Linked DNA regions of Neurospora crassa OR74A. The protein of the gene in region 4 purifies or fractionates together with the protein of the main gene of each other region. This does not show direct contact. Links are inferred from orthologs where the notes say so. Each region holds a gene or a part of one and is shown on either strand. Other genes may lie near its edges.

What was found.
Region 1: the proteins of cox-4 (region 4) and NCU16028 purify together in Saccharomyces cerevisiae (affinity purification with western blotting; 7 studies listed by BioGRID, with this or other methods). This does not show direct contact. The link is inferred for Neurospora crassa OR74A from reciprocal best matches to the Saccharomyces cerevisiae genes COX4 and COX2.
Region 2: the proteins of cox-4 (region 4) and NCU03233 purify together in Saccharomyces cerevisiae (affinity purification with mass spectrometry; 3 studies listed by BioGRID). This does not show direct contact. The link is inferred for Neurospora crassa OR74A from reciprocal best matches to the Saccharomyces cerevisiae genes COX4 and QCR9.
Region 3: the proteins of cox-4 (region 4) and cyt-26 purify together in Saccharomyces cerevisiae (affinity purification with western blotting; 5 studies listed by BioGRID, with this or other methods). This does not show direct contact. The link is inferred for Neurospora crassa OR74A from reciprocal best matches to the Saccharomyces cerevisiae genes COX4 and CYT1.

The regions. Positions count from the first base shown.
Region 1 is NC_026614.1:58,029-60,791, reverse strand, and holds NCU16028 (cytochrome c oxidase subunit 2), read right to left. Parts: upstream 1,264-2,763; coding exon 511-1,263; downstream 1-510. Other genes in the region: NCU16027 (ATPase subunit 9), read right to left, coding at 1,960-2,184. UniProt on the Saccharomyces cerevisiae protein: Component of the cytochrome c oxidase, the last enzyme in the mitochondrial electron transport chain which drives oxidative phosphorylation.
Region 2 is NC_026501.1:4,990,469-4,993,858, forward strand, and holds NCU03233 (hypothetical protein), read left to right. Parts: upstream 1-1,425; 5' UTR 1,426-1,550; coding exon 1,551-1,553; intron 1,554-1,620; coding exon 1,621-1,634; intron 1,635-1,760; coding exon 1,761-1,826; intron 1,827-1,897; coding exon 1,898-1,946; intron 1,947-2,004; coding exon 2,005-2,052; 3' UTR 2,053-2,880; downstream 2,881-3,390. Other genes in the region: NCU03232 (RNA binding protein Pym), read right to left, coding at 420-1,016. UniProt on the Saccharomyces cerevisiae protein: Component of the ubiquinol-cytochrome c oxidoreductase, a multisubunit transmembrane complex that is part of the mitochondrial electron transport chain which drives oxidative phosphorylation.
Region 3 is NC_026501.1:4,144,758-4,148,770, forward strand, and holds cyt-26 (cytochrome-26), read right to left. Parts: upstream 2,806-4,013; 5' UTR 2,572-2,805; coding exon 2,497-2,571; intron 2,254-2,496; coding exon 2,099-2,253; intron 1,951-2,098; coding exon 1,888-1,950; intron 1,796-1,887; coding exon 1,123-1,795; 3' UTR 511-1,122; downstream 1-510. Other genes in the region: mbp3 (methylated-DNA-binding protein3), read right to left, coding at 1-355; aro-7 (DAHP synthase), read right to left, coding at 3,621-3,781, 3,866-4,013. UniProt on the Saccharomyces cerevisiae protein: Component of the ubiquinol-cytochrome c oxidoreductase, a multisubunit transmembrane complex that is part of the mitochondrial electron transport chain which drives oxidative phosphorylation.
Region 4 is NC_026503.1:514,258-518,330, forward strand, and holds the start of cox-4 (cytochrome c oxidase polypeptide IV), read right to left. Parts: upstream 2,801-4,073; 5' UTR 2,597-2,800; coding exon 2,506-2,596; intron 2,252-2,505; coding exon 2,207-2,251; intron 1,794-2,206; coding exon 1,635-1,793; intron 1,574-1,634; coding exon 1,473-1,573; intron 1,410-1,472; coding exon 1,245-1,409; 3' UTR 496-1,244; coding exon of another isoform or gene 1-495. Other genes in the region: NCU05688 (hypothetical protein), read left to right, coding at 1-495; NCU16615 (hypothetical protein), read left to right, coding at 3,778-4,073. UniProt on the Saccharomyces cerevisiae protein: Component of the cytochrome c oxidase, the last enzyme in the mitochondrial electron transport chain which drives oxidative phosphorylation.

The sequences.
Region 1 (2,763 bases), on a different chromosome or scaffold from region 4:
TTCCCCGCCCTGCAGTACTGCAGGGGGGGGGGCGGGTAGCCTTTTAAACCTAATTAACCTATAAAAATAATAATAATTAAAAGCACCCCCCTTAAGGGGGGGGTGCTTTCCAGTTAATGGGCCCCCCGCCCCCGAAGGGGGCGGGGTCCCCCGAATATTGTTTATAATATAACCCACCACCTCCCGGATGTTCCACTCCACTCGCTCCCCCCCGCAAACCTGCGGGGGGGGGAGCGAGTGGAGTTAATTCCGTTCCACTCCACTCCCCCCCTTAAGGGGGGGGGGAGTGGAGTTAATTCCATAAGTCATCCTCTTCATATTAGAAACTTTTTATCGCTACCCCCTCGCTCCCCCCCCGCAAACCTGCGGGGAGGGGGGGAGAGATAACCACTAGATGGCTTCATACTCAAATACATAGGGCCCCACGAATACCCCACACACCTTCGTGTGTGGGCCGTATTCGTGGGGTCCCCCGAGTTCCTTTATTTAGCCAAAAACTATTTTATCGTCTTACTGTTCTTCTAATCAAGTAAGGAATTTTTCTAGAGATACTGACTCTATAACTATAGGCATAGAACTGTGTAATATACCACAGATTTCAGAGCATTGACCATAGAATACTCCTTCTCTGTTAATAAAAACAGATACTTGATTTAATCTCCCAGGATAAGCATCACATTTAACACCTAAAGATGGAACAGCGAAGCTATGTATCACATCACCTGCAGTGATGATAAATCTAACGTGTGTTAGTTCAGGAAGGATAACTCTATTATCCACCTCTAACATTCTTAGTGCTCCTTCTTCCAAATCGGATTCCGGTACTATATATGAATCAAATTCTATAAATTCATCATTTGAATCTAAGAAATCAGGATATTGGTAACTTCAATATCATTGGTGCCCCTCTGCTAAAACTGACATTGAAGGATCACTAACTTCATCCATTAAATATAGCAACTTAAATGAAGGGAAAGCAATTAATATTAATATTACTGCTGGAGTAATAGTTCATATTAATTCGATTAATGTACCGTGATTTAAATATTTATGTGAAATTGGTGATTTTGTACTGATATAATTTCTTATTATAGATAATAAGATTCATCCTACACCAAATAGTATTACCACCAGATAGTACATAATATTGTCATGTAATTCAACTAAACCTTCCATCTGAGGAGTAGCACTATCTTGAAAATAGATACCTCATGGGCTTGGAGCATCAAAATTCATAATTAAATTATTAAATAATAATCCCATAAAAAAAGAAATAGAATATTCTATATTGAATATTAAACCATAATAATAAATATATTATATCTTTTCATAAAATATAGAATTTAAATATAACATTAAACTGTATTGTATATTAAGGCTAGGCTAATTCTTATCCACTAACGAAGTATACCCTGTGCCTAATGGGTTTTTATAGCCTGCTGCTCATAAGGTTAGGCTACGCTAGCGTCCTTTGTTTTTTCGGGGGACCCCGCCCCCTTCGGGGCGGGGGCCCAAAAAAATGAATTACCTTCGCTCAGCTTCGCACACTTCGCTCACTTCGCTCAGCTTCGCTCAGCTTCGCTCAGCTTCCCTCCCAAAAAAGTACCACCCTCCTCCACTCGCGTACCCCCTCCTTTGCTCAAGGTCCCCATCACATTTAATTATGCCCCCCTGCAGTATTGCAGGGCGGGGGAAAGATGGGGGCCGCCAAGGGGGGGGTTGAGTGGAGGAGGGTGGTCGCGATATTATGGCTAGCTAAATTATTAAGGCTGCTTCCTGCCTGCCTAGACTTCGTAGGCAGGAAGTAGGAGGGGGCCCCCCACGAATACCCCACACACCTTCGTGTGTGGGCCGTATTCGTGGGGTCCCTCGAAGCTAGCTAGCTAGCTAAGCAGGAAGAGCAGCCATATTTTTTATTTAAGCAGCCATACATCATTTTATTCCTAATCTCTATCATTACTATGCAACATAAAGAAGTAAAAAAGCCATCATCAAAGCAAATAATCCTGTCGCTTCCGAGAAAGCAAAACCTAAAATTGCATATGCAAATAATTGACTTTTTAACGAAGGGTTTCTTGAAACCCCTATTATTAATGAGCCAAATACAACTCCAATACCTATACCAGCTCCGATTAAACCTGTGGTAGCTAGCCCTGTTCCTATTATTTTAGCTACTTGTATCATTATATATACAATGGTGGAATCAAAAATTAACTAGAATCTAGTAACCTCTTCAATTCCACCACCGCAAAGCAGCAAATACCACTGAGGCTCCCGACAACAGTGTATTTACTGCTGTTGCAGTATATCTAATGATAATCAAGTAGCCATTAGGCTATCCCTAATGGCTACAATAATCATACGATAGCTAGCCAGTATATAACTGGCTAGCTATCGTAATCTTTAGTACATTACATATAAAGATTACATTACAATACATTACATTACATTACATGTAATGTAACATTACATTACAGTTACATTACTGTACATTATATTACATTACAGTTACATTATATTAAGTTACATTACAGTTACATTACAAAATATTACATTACAGTTACATAACATTAAGTTACATTAAGTTACATTACATTACATTAAGTTAAGTTACATTAAGTTACATTTTATATTATCTATCAGATGATTACATTTGCAGTACATAGTGGATATAACATTACATTACATTACATTACATCATTACATAGCATAATGTATCATCCATCATTCCCCTTACGTGATACGTACCAAATTAAATCACAC
Region 2 (3,390 bases), on a different chromosome or scaffold from region 4:
TGTACAGACCCTGTACAGCCAGCAGCATTCGAAACCATCACTCTTTATCGTCGTCGTCCCTTTCATCTTAACAATTTGCCTTGGACATTCGCCTTGGACCATTCGCCTTTACCCGATCGCAACGTTCAGAGCAGCAGCACTTCCCGTCATGGCATATTCATACAGCTACCCCATGCTCCCCAGGCCCTCAACGCGGGCGCGCGGAGCGGCAGAAGGCTCAAAGGTCGGCGTGCAGTGTCAAAGAGTGTCGAAAGGCTTCCCAGTTTAGGCTCATGCTGAAGGATTGTTCAGGGATCGTCGTGAATCGAGTGTGGCGCATCAATTGGACCGGCGGAGCAGTGTCTCTGTAACTTGGCCATAGCAATTGCCGGCCAGGACCTATGCTCATGATCTTTATCCTCGATCGTCACTTTCCTGCTTCAGGTCGAGTCCTCTTTTGGTTCAGACGAAGCCTTTGCGGTCTTTGGCTCCCCTTCAGAGTCGAAACCAAGGGCATCCAATTCCCGGATGAGTTCGTTGATCTTGATAACCTTGGCGATCTGTTCAGGTAACAACGACTCTCCACCATCCTTCTTGTCCTTCAGCTCCTTGGCCTGGCGAAGCTTCTTCTTTACATTCCGGGCCTTCTTCTCCTTCTCGGCTTCCGGGTCGAGCTCTTCTGGCTTGAGTGCAGGGGCCGCTGCAACAGCTGTCTTCTGATCCTCGCCTTCTATTTCGCCAGCAGCCTTGGCTTTTTTGCGCGCTTCCCGACGTTTGGCATTTTTGTTAGCCGCCGCACTGAGCTGCTGGTCCGACTTGTCCTCCTTCAATCCCTCTGCGCCCGGCACTGGGCCTTTGCCGCGCTGGCGAAAGCCCTCGGCGGTGCGGTTCTTGTACACCTCGACATCCTCGGGCGGGCGGTAGCCGGGGCGGACTTTGATAGCTTTTCTGGTACTCCCGTCGGCTCTCTTAGACTCGGGGATGACACGCTCGCCGTTTTTGTCAGTTATGATGCCGGAGTTTGTTGGCTGAGACATGGTTCAAGATTGTGGTGGGATTATTGATGTTCGATGAGGGGTTCGGCTAGGGTTGCGGCGATGCCGTTCGACGATTCGGAAGTAGTGAGTTTCGTATAAATGTTTAATGGTTGATTCGCCGGAGCTCGAACCTCGCGTGTCGAGATTGTTGCTTTCGTAATGCGCACAGTTTGATGCGCATCCGTCGGACACGTCAATCAGTAAATTTGTAGGAAGAAGCAAGAGATTGGAAAATGAGGACGACGTTGTGGCTTCGAGGTTGATCCCGCTTGCAGCTTGGCACGCTTGTGAGAGGTGCCAGCAGCCTTGGAGGCACCTGGAGAAAGTGGGTCATAGCTTTGACCAATCAGGGGAGCTGCATTTGCTCCGGATGGTTCCGGCCGGCGACATCTGCGATCTTCTAGGTTCCGCTGGGTCGGTTTTGTCCAGTGCAACGAAAAACATCGTGATTGCTCGCGACGCCCATCTCCCACACAACGTCACCGTCAGAGACGCAGCTGAACCACCGTTTACAGCCTCGGTAAATCTGCCAAAATGGTGAGCATCTCTCCGCCCTCACGCCGGCTCAGAACCTGCCAATGCTAATCGCGCATTCCCAATTTAGTCCGCTTTGTACAAGCAAGTATCCCCGCAACGCCGAGCGCATGCTCACACGCCTCCCACCCCCATCGGCCCGGCACCGGCCCCGACCCTATCTCCCGGGCCAAAGCCAAATCGAGCACCGATAGCTAACGTACATCCCAGCCTCATCTTCCGCAACAACACCGCCTTTGTCGGCGCTGTCTTCGCTGGTGCCTTCGCCTTCGAGTTGTACGTACCCACGACAGTCGTATAAACATATAACAGGGAATCTTGTGTCGCTGAACAATCGCACCATCTAGGGCCTATGACAACGGCATGGACAAGGTCTGGGACAAGATCAACAAGGGGGTACGAGCCTACGACTGAATTGACACTGGTGTGGAACAGTTGCTGACGAGGAGAACAGCGCCAATGGAAGGACATCCGCCACAAGTACGTCGAGGCTGAGGAGTAAACATGACGACTTGGGAGCAACTTTTCAAGACATGGAAACGCCGACCCGATGAGGATCAGACGACAGCCTCTAGGAGAAAGTGGGACGTGGTCGACGGCCATTGATTGCTAGAGGAATGGGCGACTTTTCCTGACGCTTCTGCCTACCAAGCCCCTATTTCTACCGTATTGTACAAAATCAATATTCACCATGGCGAAAGACACATAGACGAATGACCATAGCCCGACTACAAGGCTGAAGAGTAGGAGCATTGAGCAATTCTCTCTGCCAGCTTTTGATCTGAGGAACCTCAGCATGAAGCAAGCCCGGCAACCGAACGGCCCAGCCTGGATTTCGGACGTGTGTATGTGTGGGCAATGTCTGCTTTAAATTTCCCAGCGTTGCGTAGCAGGCTGAAGCGTTCGATGAACTGCGCAGTTCGAGCTGACCTTCGCAATCTCTGACGTCTTTACGCAGCGGCTTTGATGGTCGGTCGGACGGCATGGATTTTTCACACACCAAGCGCCAGCCCCTGGCAAGCTACGTTAGCTGGCACTGTGGCCTGTGGTATGTGGTATGTAGAGGTAGTAGAGTATAGAGGTACCTACCGGCTGGTGCTCGACATGGTGATTATTCGCTGAGGAACCTCTACATTTGACCTACTAACTTTTTGTTCTGTCCCTACCGTACCTCTACCGGTACTTCAGGAGCAACACGGTGCAATGCACGATGATGATTATCAATATACGGTGTGGACGACATCAGGACGGGAGGTTCAGTTTGTAACAAGTCGCTCGGTTAGGTATAGTAGCGGAAGCACACGCGTACTTCTGAGGGTAAGCGTGGCCCAGTTGTAGTGTTTAGTTGCTCCCTATCATAAACAGTACCATTCATAACTGTACGTCAAGAAGGGAACAGGGCTTCACTCTTCCTAGTACCTTCTGCCTACGCTACCTCTACCTCTACTTAAAGGCCCGGAGTGCGGCCCCCCACTGACGTACCATTACGAGCGTCAGTGCACCTTCTTGTTCGCAAAATACCGAAGCTCGCTGCAGGATTTGTCTCGCAAATGTCGATAGGTAAAGATATAATGGGGATGAGTTATGGTCAAAGATGGTAGGAGCTTTTAGTGGAGTCCTAAGTGTCGGTGCAATCACGACTGCAAACCTACCTGGGTAACATAGGTTGCTCCGACGGCATGTCTACCAGTACTGAATTGGATGTTAGGCCAAATGGCACCAACGGAACTCGCAATGGATCAACAGCGGCCATAGAAGCCCGACAAAACCCCCCCCACAGGATCTACAATTAAGAAGGAACTCGGAGGAACGGTCCTGACGGTCGGTTGTTGGTTAACCG
Region 3 (4,013 bases), on a different chromosome or scaffold from region 4:
ACGGCAACAAACACAGCTCAGGATCACCCATCACGCGATTTTGACCATGATCTTGTTCTCGCTCCAGCCGCAGAACCCGATAAGCTTGATCCCTCAAGGAATGGGCACAATCCATCATCATTTCCCATTCTTCCATTCCACGCATGAGACTCGGTTCCCAAAGTTTGCGGACTTCAACTGGTGGGGCGAAACCCGAGGTAAGCAGCGAGGCGAGGTAGTCTCGGTCTTGAGAGGAAGAGGAGAAGTCGACGTTGAAGTCATTGAGGATGTCATTGGCGAGGTCTGGTGACATGACATCGTTATATGGGAGGCGAGAGGCCTGTGATTGGGGTGGTGATAGTTTTGATGATGACATTTTGCTGGTTGTCAGTGGATGGAGAGTTTTGGATTTACATATGTGGTGTCCAGCAATCGTAGAATCAAAATGTGATTGAAAACTTCACGATGAGTTTGGGGTCAAGATGTTGTTGCTTGTCAGTGAGTGAATCGAAAAGGGAGGGGAGGGGGCCAAGACTTTGTTTGGAAGGCAAATCAAATGCCAAGCCAGGGGCATCCTCTGTGGCACTTCGTGCTGACATTTACCGTGATTCGGTGAAAGAGAGATTGCCAATCGAGAAATGTCAAGGCTTTCGAAGCTCATACTATATCTCAACTACTCTCGAAGTTAAAGGCGTACATGATGATGTAGCTGACAGGGAAATGGCCTTTACTCTTTGGCATCCGTTCAAATGCCCATGTCGTAATATCCGTATCCTGATCCACTCACATGCAAGTTCAGCTTGACCGTCATACCCATACCATCATACCCTGTCAGACACAGGCAATAACGTCTATGTTGTATTTGAGACCAGAAAATTTGATTTATACACTCTACGACCATCTTCATGTTCAACCCACACGCCCGCACATCTCCGCATTGCCCAGAGTTACCGATCCCGCCCCTGCCCATTCCTTTTCGTTTTGCTCTTTCTGACCGATGCGCAAGAGGAACATGGGGGAGCAAAATTTGGGCAGCAATAGTATATGATACATACACAGAAAAAGACAAGGAAAATCACGCACGTCTCACAACGGTTATTGTGTGAATGTCATGACTTTGCCCTTTGTTGTGGCAATGCTAAATTAGTGGCGGGTGGTGGACTCCTTGGGGGGATCGTAGACGATCTTCCTCGACTTGAGCCAAGCCCACTTGTAACGCTTAACATAGACGCTCAAGGCGAAGAGCACAGAGGTGACAACCAGAACCTTCATACCCATGCGCTTGCGGTCGTCCATCTCGGGCTCAGCAGCCCAGTTGAGGAACTCAACAACATCCTTGGCCATCTGGGAGGTGGAGGCGGGGGTGCCATCCTCGTAGTCGACGAGGCCGTCGTAGAGGACACGGGCCATGGCGATACCGGTACCGGGGAAGTAGGGGTTGAAGTTAAGGCCGGCGCCAACGGAAGCGCCAGCGGGAGGCTCATCGGGATAGCCGGTAAGGAGGGAGAAGATGTAGTCGCAGCCACCGTGGCGGGCCTTGACGATCAAGCTGAGATCGGGAGGAAGGGCACCGTTGTTGGCGAAACGGGCGGCCTCATCGTTCTTGTAGGGATCGGGGAGGTAGTCGGAAAGCTTGCCGGGGCGCTTCTCGATCTCGCCCTGGTCGTTGGGCTCGGTGTCGTACTCGTTCTCTTCGGCAAGAGCCTTGGCCTCATCGACGGTCAAGATGGTGCCGACAAGAGCGCGGTAGGGGACTCTGCTGAGAGAGTGGCACGAGGCGCAGACCTCACGGTACACCTGGAAACCTCTGCGAAGACTGCAGTCGGGCAAAAACAAAGTCGTGAGCCAGATAGTCATTTTGGATTGGAGGCGCGGCCTCGAATGGGCTGGATAGGAGTGGTTGCTTACGCTTGGTGATCAAAGGTCTTGAGCCACTGTTCGTGGACCCAGGGGTACTTGGTAGCATGGAGACTGCGTCAACGGTAAGCTTCGAGTCACTCCATGCCCAGATTCATGCCTATAGTCGAGCTCGGTCGTATATGCCTCAGAACCCATGAGGCAGACCTCGGTCCAGCGGCTAGAGCGGGGCGGATGGTCGGATCGATCGTAGGGGACTCACCCTTCCTCAGCCGGAGTCATGGCGGAAGCGAATCCATAGAGATGGTAGTACCAGGCGATCGAGCCGGCGGCGACGGCGGTGGCAGCGGCGGCAGCAATGTTCAGGCGGAGGGGAGACTCGGCAGCGGCGCCGGAGCTCTGGGTGGAAGCCGAACGCTGCCGGGCACGTCCGTTAGCTTTCCTCGAGGAGCGCGAGAGTGTGAAGGAGACAAGACAGGATGGCTCGGCCGGGGCGGGGATGGTCGGGCAACTGGGCCCCGGACCGGGAGCTCGCAGTAGGTTGACGGTAGCTCAAGCCGGCCCAGACCCAGCCATTCGAGTGGCGATGCGGCCGAGATCTGTTGTTTGGAGGGGCAGAGAGACGAGGACGAAAGAGTTGTCGAAGCAATCGAGACGAACCTTGGCAAATTTGAAGGCGCCATTTTTCGCGCTGGCAAAGGTGCGCGTCGAGCGCAGGCAGGTCCTCGCCAGCATGGTGGGCAAGCTGAGCGAAGCTTTAGGAAAGTATCGCGGGTTCGGGGGACAAGGCCAATTGGGTTGGCAATGTCGGTGACAGTATCAGGTCTGGCGGGCGGGAGGTCGAGCAGGTCCGTCCAGGTGCAAGGTCGGTCGATTCCCTTCACGTAGCGTCGTAGGTAGGACCGTAGGTTTCTTGAATTTCGGGAATCTTAGGAACACTCGCCATCTGATTGGCTGGGCCAATCACCGTGCAGCCTTTCGAGCTTTTACACTTCCCCTCGGCCCCGGCCGATGGATTTTCCGCACTAATTTACCTCATTCTGCCCGCGGGCCTCAGCGCTTTTTGAGACTACCTTGCTCAGTAAGGTAGACACCTCAGCGAGCCCAATCCCGACCTGCAAGTGGAAGTTTCACAAGCGACTAATCCAACTGGGCACAGCTGGGAGCTGGGCATCAGGATCAGGATCAGCATCAGTATCAGCATCAGCATCAGCCAGCATCGCCCCATGGAAATCATAAATGTCCAAGCTCTCGCTGCCCGCGGTCCGCCCCTTCTGTCTTTTCAGCTCACACGGCGACCCAGCGTGACCGGACCTAGCCGAGGAAAAGCTGCCAAGGAAAGCCAGGTTTGAAGCTATACACCACACATACATACCTATGCCGTGGCCCCGTAATCGCAGGTGAAGCTCAGATTTGGTCACCACGGCTATCACGCTTCACACCAACACATCACCACAATTGCATCCCCAAAAAAAAAGGCAACGCAAAACTGTAGTCGAACATGGACGATCCTAGAGATTATCATCGAAAGAAATCCAAGGTAATTGTTTCGTTTTGAGATCCAGACCCGCTCCATCTTTTACCATCTTCTATTGTCTCGACGGCCATTTCCCAAGATGCATTAATACACGCTCTTTATCAAAACACACCACATGCAGAAATGTCAGCTTTTGTGTTCCCATCCCCGCGCCAGCATATATTCGGCATCCCTCACTTAGGGTTCGTGAACCCCTATCAAATGACCCATAAACCATAAAGCAAACAAGACCAGGAATTGGCATGACTTAGGCAGCGGCGTTCTTGCTCAGGACTTCTCTCCTCTTTTTGACGGCCTGCGCAAGCGTGTCGAGAGTGGCGACAGTGTCCTCCCAGCCAATACAAGCATCAGTGATACTGACACCGTACTTGAGGCCGCACTTGCCTTCCTCGGGCACCTTCTGGTTACCTGTACGTTGTGTTAGCGAACAGCTTCAAATTTAGACGGTCATATGCCCCCAATAAAAAAAATAAACAAAATAAAAAGACTTGCCCTCGTTGATGTTGCTCTCAATCATGACGCCCATGATACCAGTTTCGCCGTTCTCAAGTTGTTGCGCAATTTCGGCAGCGACCTTGGGCTGGTTCTTGTGGTTCTTATTCGAGTTGCCGTGGCTGCAGTCAATCATCAGGCGCTGGCG
Region 4 (4,073 bases):
TCTGTGGGGAAGGATGGGAGGGTGATGGAGTCTGGTTCGAAGGTGGAGGGTGAGGGGACCACAGAGGGGGAGGGACAGGGACAAGAGGGGGAAGAGGGGGAGGGGGGAAAAGATGGGAAAGAGGGGGAGGGGGGAAAAGATGGGAAAGATGGGGAGGGAAAACAAGAAGGGAGAGAAGGGGAAGGGGGGGACAGAAACAAACATGGGGAGGGGAGTAAAGAAGGGAATAACAAGATGGCAAAGGAGGAGAAAGGAGTGGGAATAGGAGCGAGTAAGAAGAAGAGAAAGGTAGGGAAGGTCATTGCTGGCGATGATGACTCTGATCAAGAGCAAGATGGGGATGCTAAGGAGCCAAAGGCAAAGGCTGAGGGTACAGATGCCAAAGACCAAAGCGGAAAAACGGAACAGGCAGGGGAGAAACCAAAGCCCAAGACGGCCATGAAGAAGGCTAAGAAAATCAAGCTTAGCTTTGGTGATGGTGATGAGGAGGGTTGAGATGCCGTCGTTATCGGGCTTGGGCGCTGGAAGTACATAAACACCGACGGGAGAAAAAAAAGGGGGGCATGCCGAGAGGAAGGTGTGTGTTCAAGGCTAACAACCACGTCGGCCGGCGCATGTCCCAATAGCAAGTGGAAGGGCGCAAGATGCGCGACCTGGTGACAAGCTTGCGGATGACGAGGGATGCAAAGTCCGAGTTTGTCTATGCCGTTATGCCTGGAGTACTACCCAAGAGCTGTCCGGAGAAAAGCAATAGGGAGCTGTGCCAGAACGTCGTTCCCGATCCTGCGGTGCTCTGACTCAGTGCCAGGCAGAAGAAGCTATCTTGGATGGTCTCGAGTCTTGTTGCTCGGTACCGCAGAGAAGGTCGAGTCTAGATGATTCTGCGAATGCACTCTGAGCAAACAGCCCTAGTAGCAATCCTGAATCTAGATACTGTCACGCCAATCCAACCTCTTTCGAGCTTCTCGATGGTATATACAATTCCATGTTCAGTATTTATTTGGCCCCAGGGTTCTAGGTAGAAATCTACAGCTCTAGGTTCCCGAATGCAAGTCCAATGAGGTAACAACCACCTACCCAGCCTCATCATCACCCCCGTGTTCTCCAGGTTCGCATTCACAGTGCTTGCCTCCCAGTAAACTTGTGTCATATGCATGCATCGTATTTGTCAATGTCTTCTTCTATTAACAACCCACTACACAAAAACCTCAAACCTCCCTTTGCAAACCCCACAACTGGGTAATTTACCAGTACTCGGGCTTGACGTAGTCGGCAAAGGTCTTGGGCTCCTCGAAGCCGTGGTGGTCGTGGCCGTGGTCGTGGGCGTGGTCGTCCTGGGGACCGACGTAGTCCATCTTGTAGACGTTGCCGCACTCGGGGCAGCGCTCGACGGGGCGCTCGCGGGTCATCTATTTTTTGGTTAGAATACTCAATTTGAGCGGTAGAAGAAACAGAGAAGAGAAAAAACTCACGGTGAGCCAGATGACGTTGTGGGAGTCGGCAGGGAAGCCAGTGCAACCGGCGTACTGCTCATCACCGGCGGAGCGGACGGAGATGGGGTTCTCCATGGTGCCTATTTTTCAACTGTCAACCCCCCAGCTCCTCTCAACCCAGGTTATTACAGCAAGTCTTACCCCTGCGGGAGGCATCAAGGGGCTTCATGTCGAAAACGTCGACGCCCTCCATCTTGCCGAGAATTTCGAGACGCTCGAGACCGGTGGCCTGCTCGAGATCGGTGGGGACAGTGCCGGGGGCGGCACCGGGGCCGAAGAGGTCATCCTTGGTCTTGATCTCTGTTTGTCGCGAAAGGTATATATGTCAGTCATGTATGTTTTTTCGTCGTATGCGGTTTCGTCCGTCACCCCGCATCGTCATGGAGCGAGTGGAGGCTATAGGGAAGCTGGGCTGAACTGAGCTACCCGGCCGGTGGAAGCTGTGGTAGATAGGGGAGCCTCAAGCTTGAGCTGGTCGAGGAGCTTCTTCTCCGGTTCGTCCGCGCAATGATAATAACCCCCTCCTTTTTGTGGTCGTCCAATGCTTTCCTCCTCCTTCTTCTTGTTGTTTCATCAAGCTCCCCCAAGCTTGACTAAGCTCAGCTCGAGCTTCGAAAGACCCACCACAGCTTCCAGTTCGCGTAGCCCAGTTCTCCAGCAACCCCAATAGACACAATGGTGACGCAATCGCCGGCGGGGGGAGATCATCATACCGGAGAGACGCTTGATGTGGGGGACAGGCTTGGTCTCGGCGTTGCCTGGAATCAAGATAAAAACATGGTGTCAGTTTTGCGATCGGGATTCGGGGGTTTGTGATTGATGCGCGTTTGGTTGTCGCGAATTGGTTCGAGGTGGTGGTGGGGTCATGATGTCGTCGTCGTTGGTGGTGGTGGTGGTGATGATGCTTATGCGCGGATATTTGCAGCTTCGCGATTGGAGCTTTTTTGGATGCCGTGCTTTTTTTCAGGCCGCAGCCGCTAAAAACCAAGAGACGTTTCCAATGTTCACTTACAGCGCACAACGGTGGTGGCGATGCTGCGACGGAGAGCGGGGGCAGCGGTGGCCCGGCGGGCGACGGCGACGGCGGTGCGGGACAGGAGCATGTTGGCGACGGCGGCGGGTGGGTGGTGGTGGATGGTGTGATGTCGGAGTGACAGAATTGACCGGGAGAGAGCGGAGAGGCGGGAGATGATGTTTTGTCGCTGTCTGTCCGAATCCGAAGCTGGTTTGCCCACACTGCCGTGGGTCCCACAGCTGAGCTGGGCACCACTGCAGTGGACAGAGGCCCCGACCGTGCTGCCCTTCCCTTCTGCCGCTGGCAACTGGCGAACGGGCGGTTGTTTGGTACGAATGGAGGCGCTTGGACCACATTCTGGAAAGCTTCCCCAGCTGGTTGCCAGAAGCAGCTAGCGCACGGTCAGGTGATGCAGCACGTGGGACCGCTCATATCATCAGTACTGTACCATGAAGTGAAGCGACAATTGCGTGATGAATACATGGCAAGAGACTGTGTGAAGCAATCCTAGGTTTCAATTGACTTGGGTACGGCATAGATTATATAATGATTGAGCTAACTGGGAGCAGAAGGAAGAAGGTCTTGATGAAGCTATTGCAGGTTTGACTGGCGTGACCCTAACCCTCCAAGCCCCAATCAAACATCGACAATGCTCCACCCCGTCAAACGGAACTCGGGCTTTCCAGCTTCAAACTACCGGGCCCAATCCGGCTTCCGTGTCCGATAGTGGATCCCCGGATCGGCGCCCTGTGCAAGTTGGAGCGGCACCATTCCGGAAGTGTGCAAGTTATCTTATCCAACTAACTCACGAACGAGAACACAACACAACAAACGATCCACAGCTTCTTCACCACAGCCGGTAACCGCCACCGGTCCTTTGTCAACTCCCTCCCCTCTCACCTCCACCCGCTCCTTGAGAAGGAGGAGCAGAAAGGAAAGTGGTATCTGAAGTTGTAGGGGCTGGGTGGTTGTGGAAGAGGTGGAGGCATGCATGGCAGTGAAATTTCGCATATGAGAGTCGGGTTCGGAGTTTGGGACGCCTGGGAGCTTACACAACACTCGTATTTTACCTTGTTCAACATGGAGGCTCAAGACATGGAAACACACAGGACGTCTTGTTAAGCACATGACCACGCCCTACAGCTACGTACTCCTCTCTCTGCCTCCTACCCACTAAGTAAGATTCTTACCTACATGATACCACCTCCTAGTGGCGGAAAATTCCCACCTCCCGAACACCACCATCCCCAAACCCCAGAGTCCTGTCCCATGGTTCTCGCCCTGTTGAGGCACAGACGATGCACCCCGTTTTTTGTTTCCCATTTTGGAAGTTGGGCAACTGGGGTATGCGGGGAGCCCGTCATGCAGTTACTGTCGTTTGCTTCAGTTGAGCGGTTTTCAGGGTCTTGGATGTCACTCACGTGGTCGATACTAAAACCGGCGATGGTGCTGGATGGCTTGCATACCCCTGACTGGATGAGGATGAGGTGGGTGTCGAGAAACATGCGATATGGAATGGTGAGACAGGGGCTTAAGTCTTGGAATATTCCACGAACCATACCTAC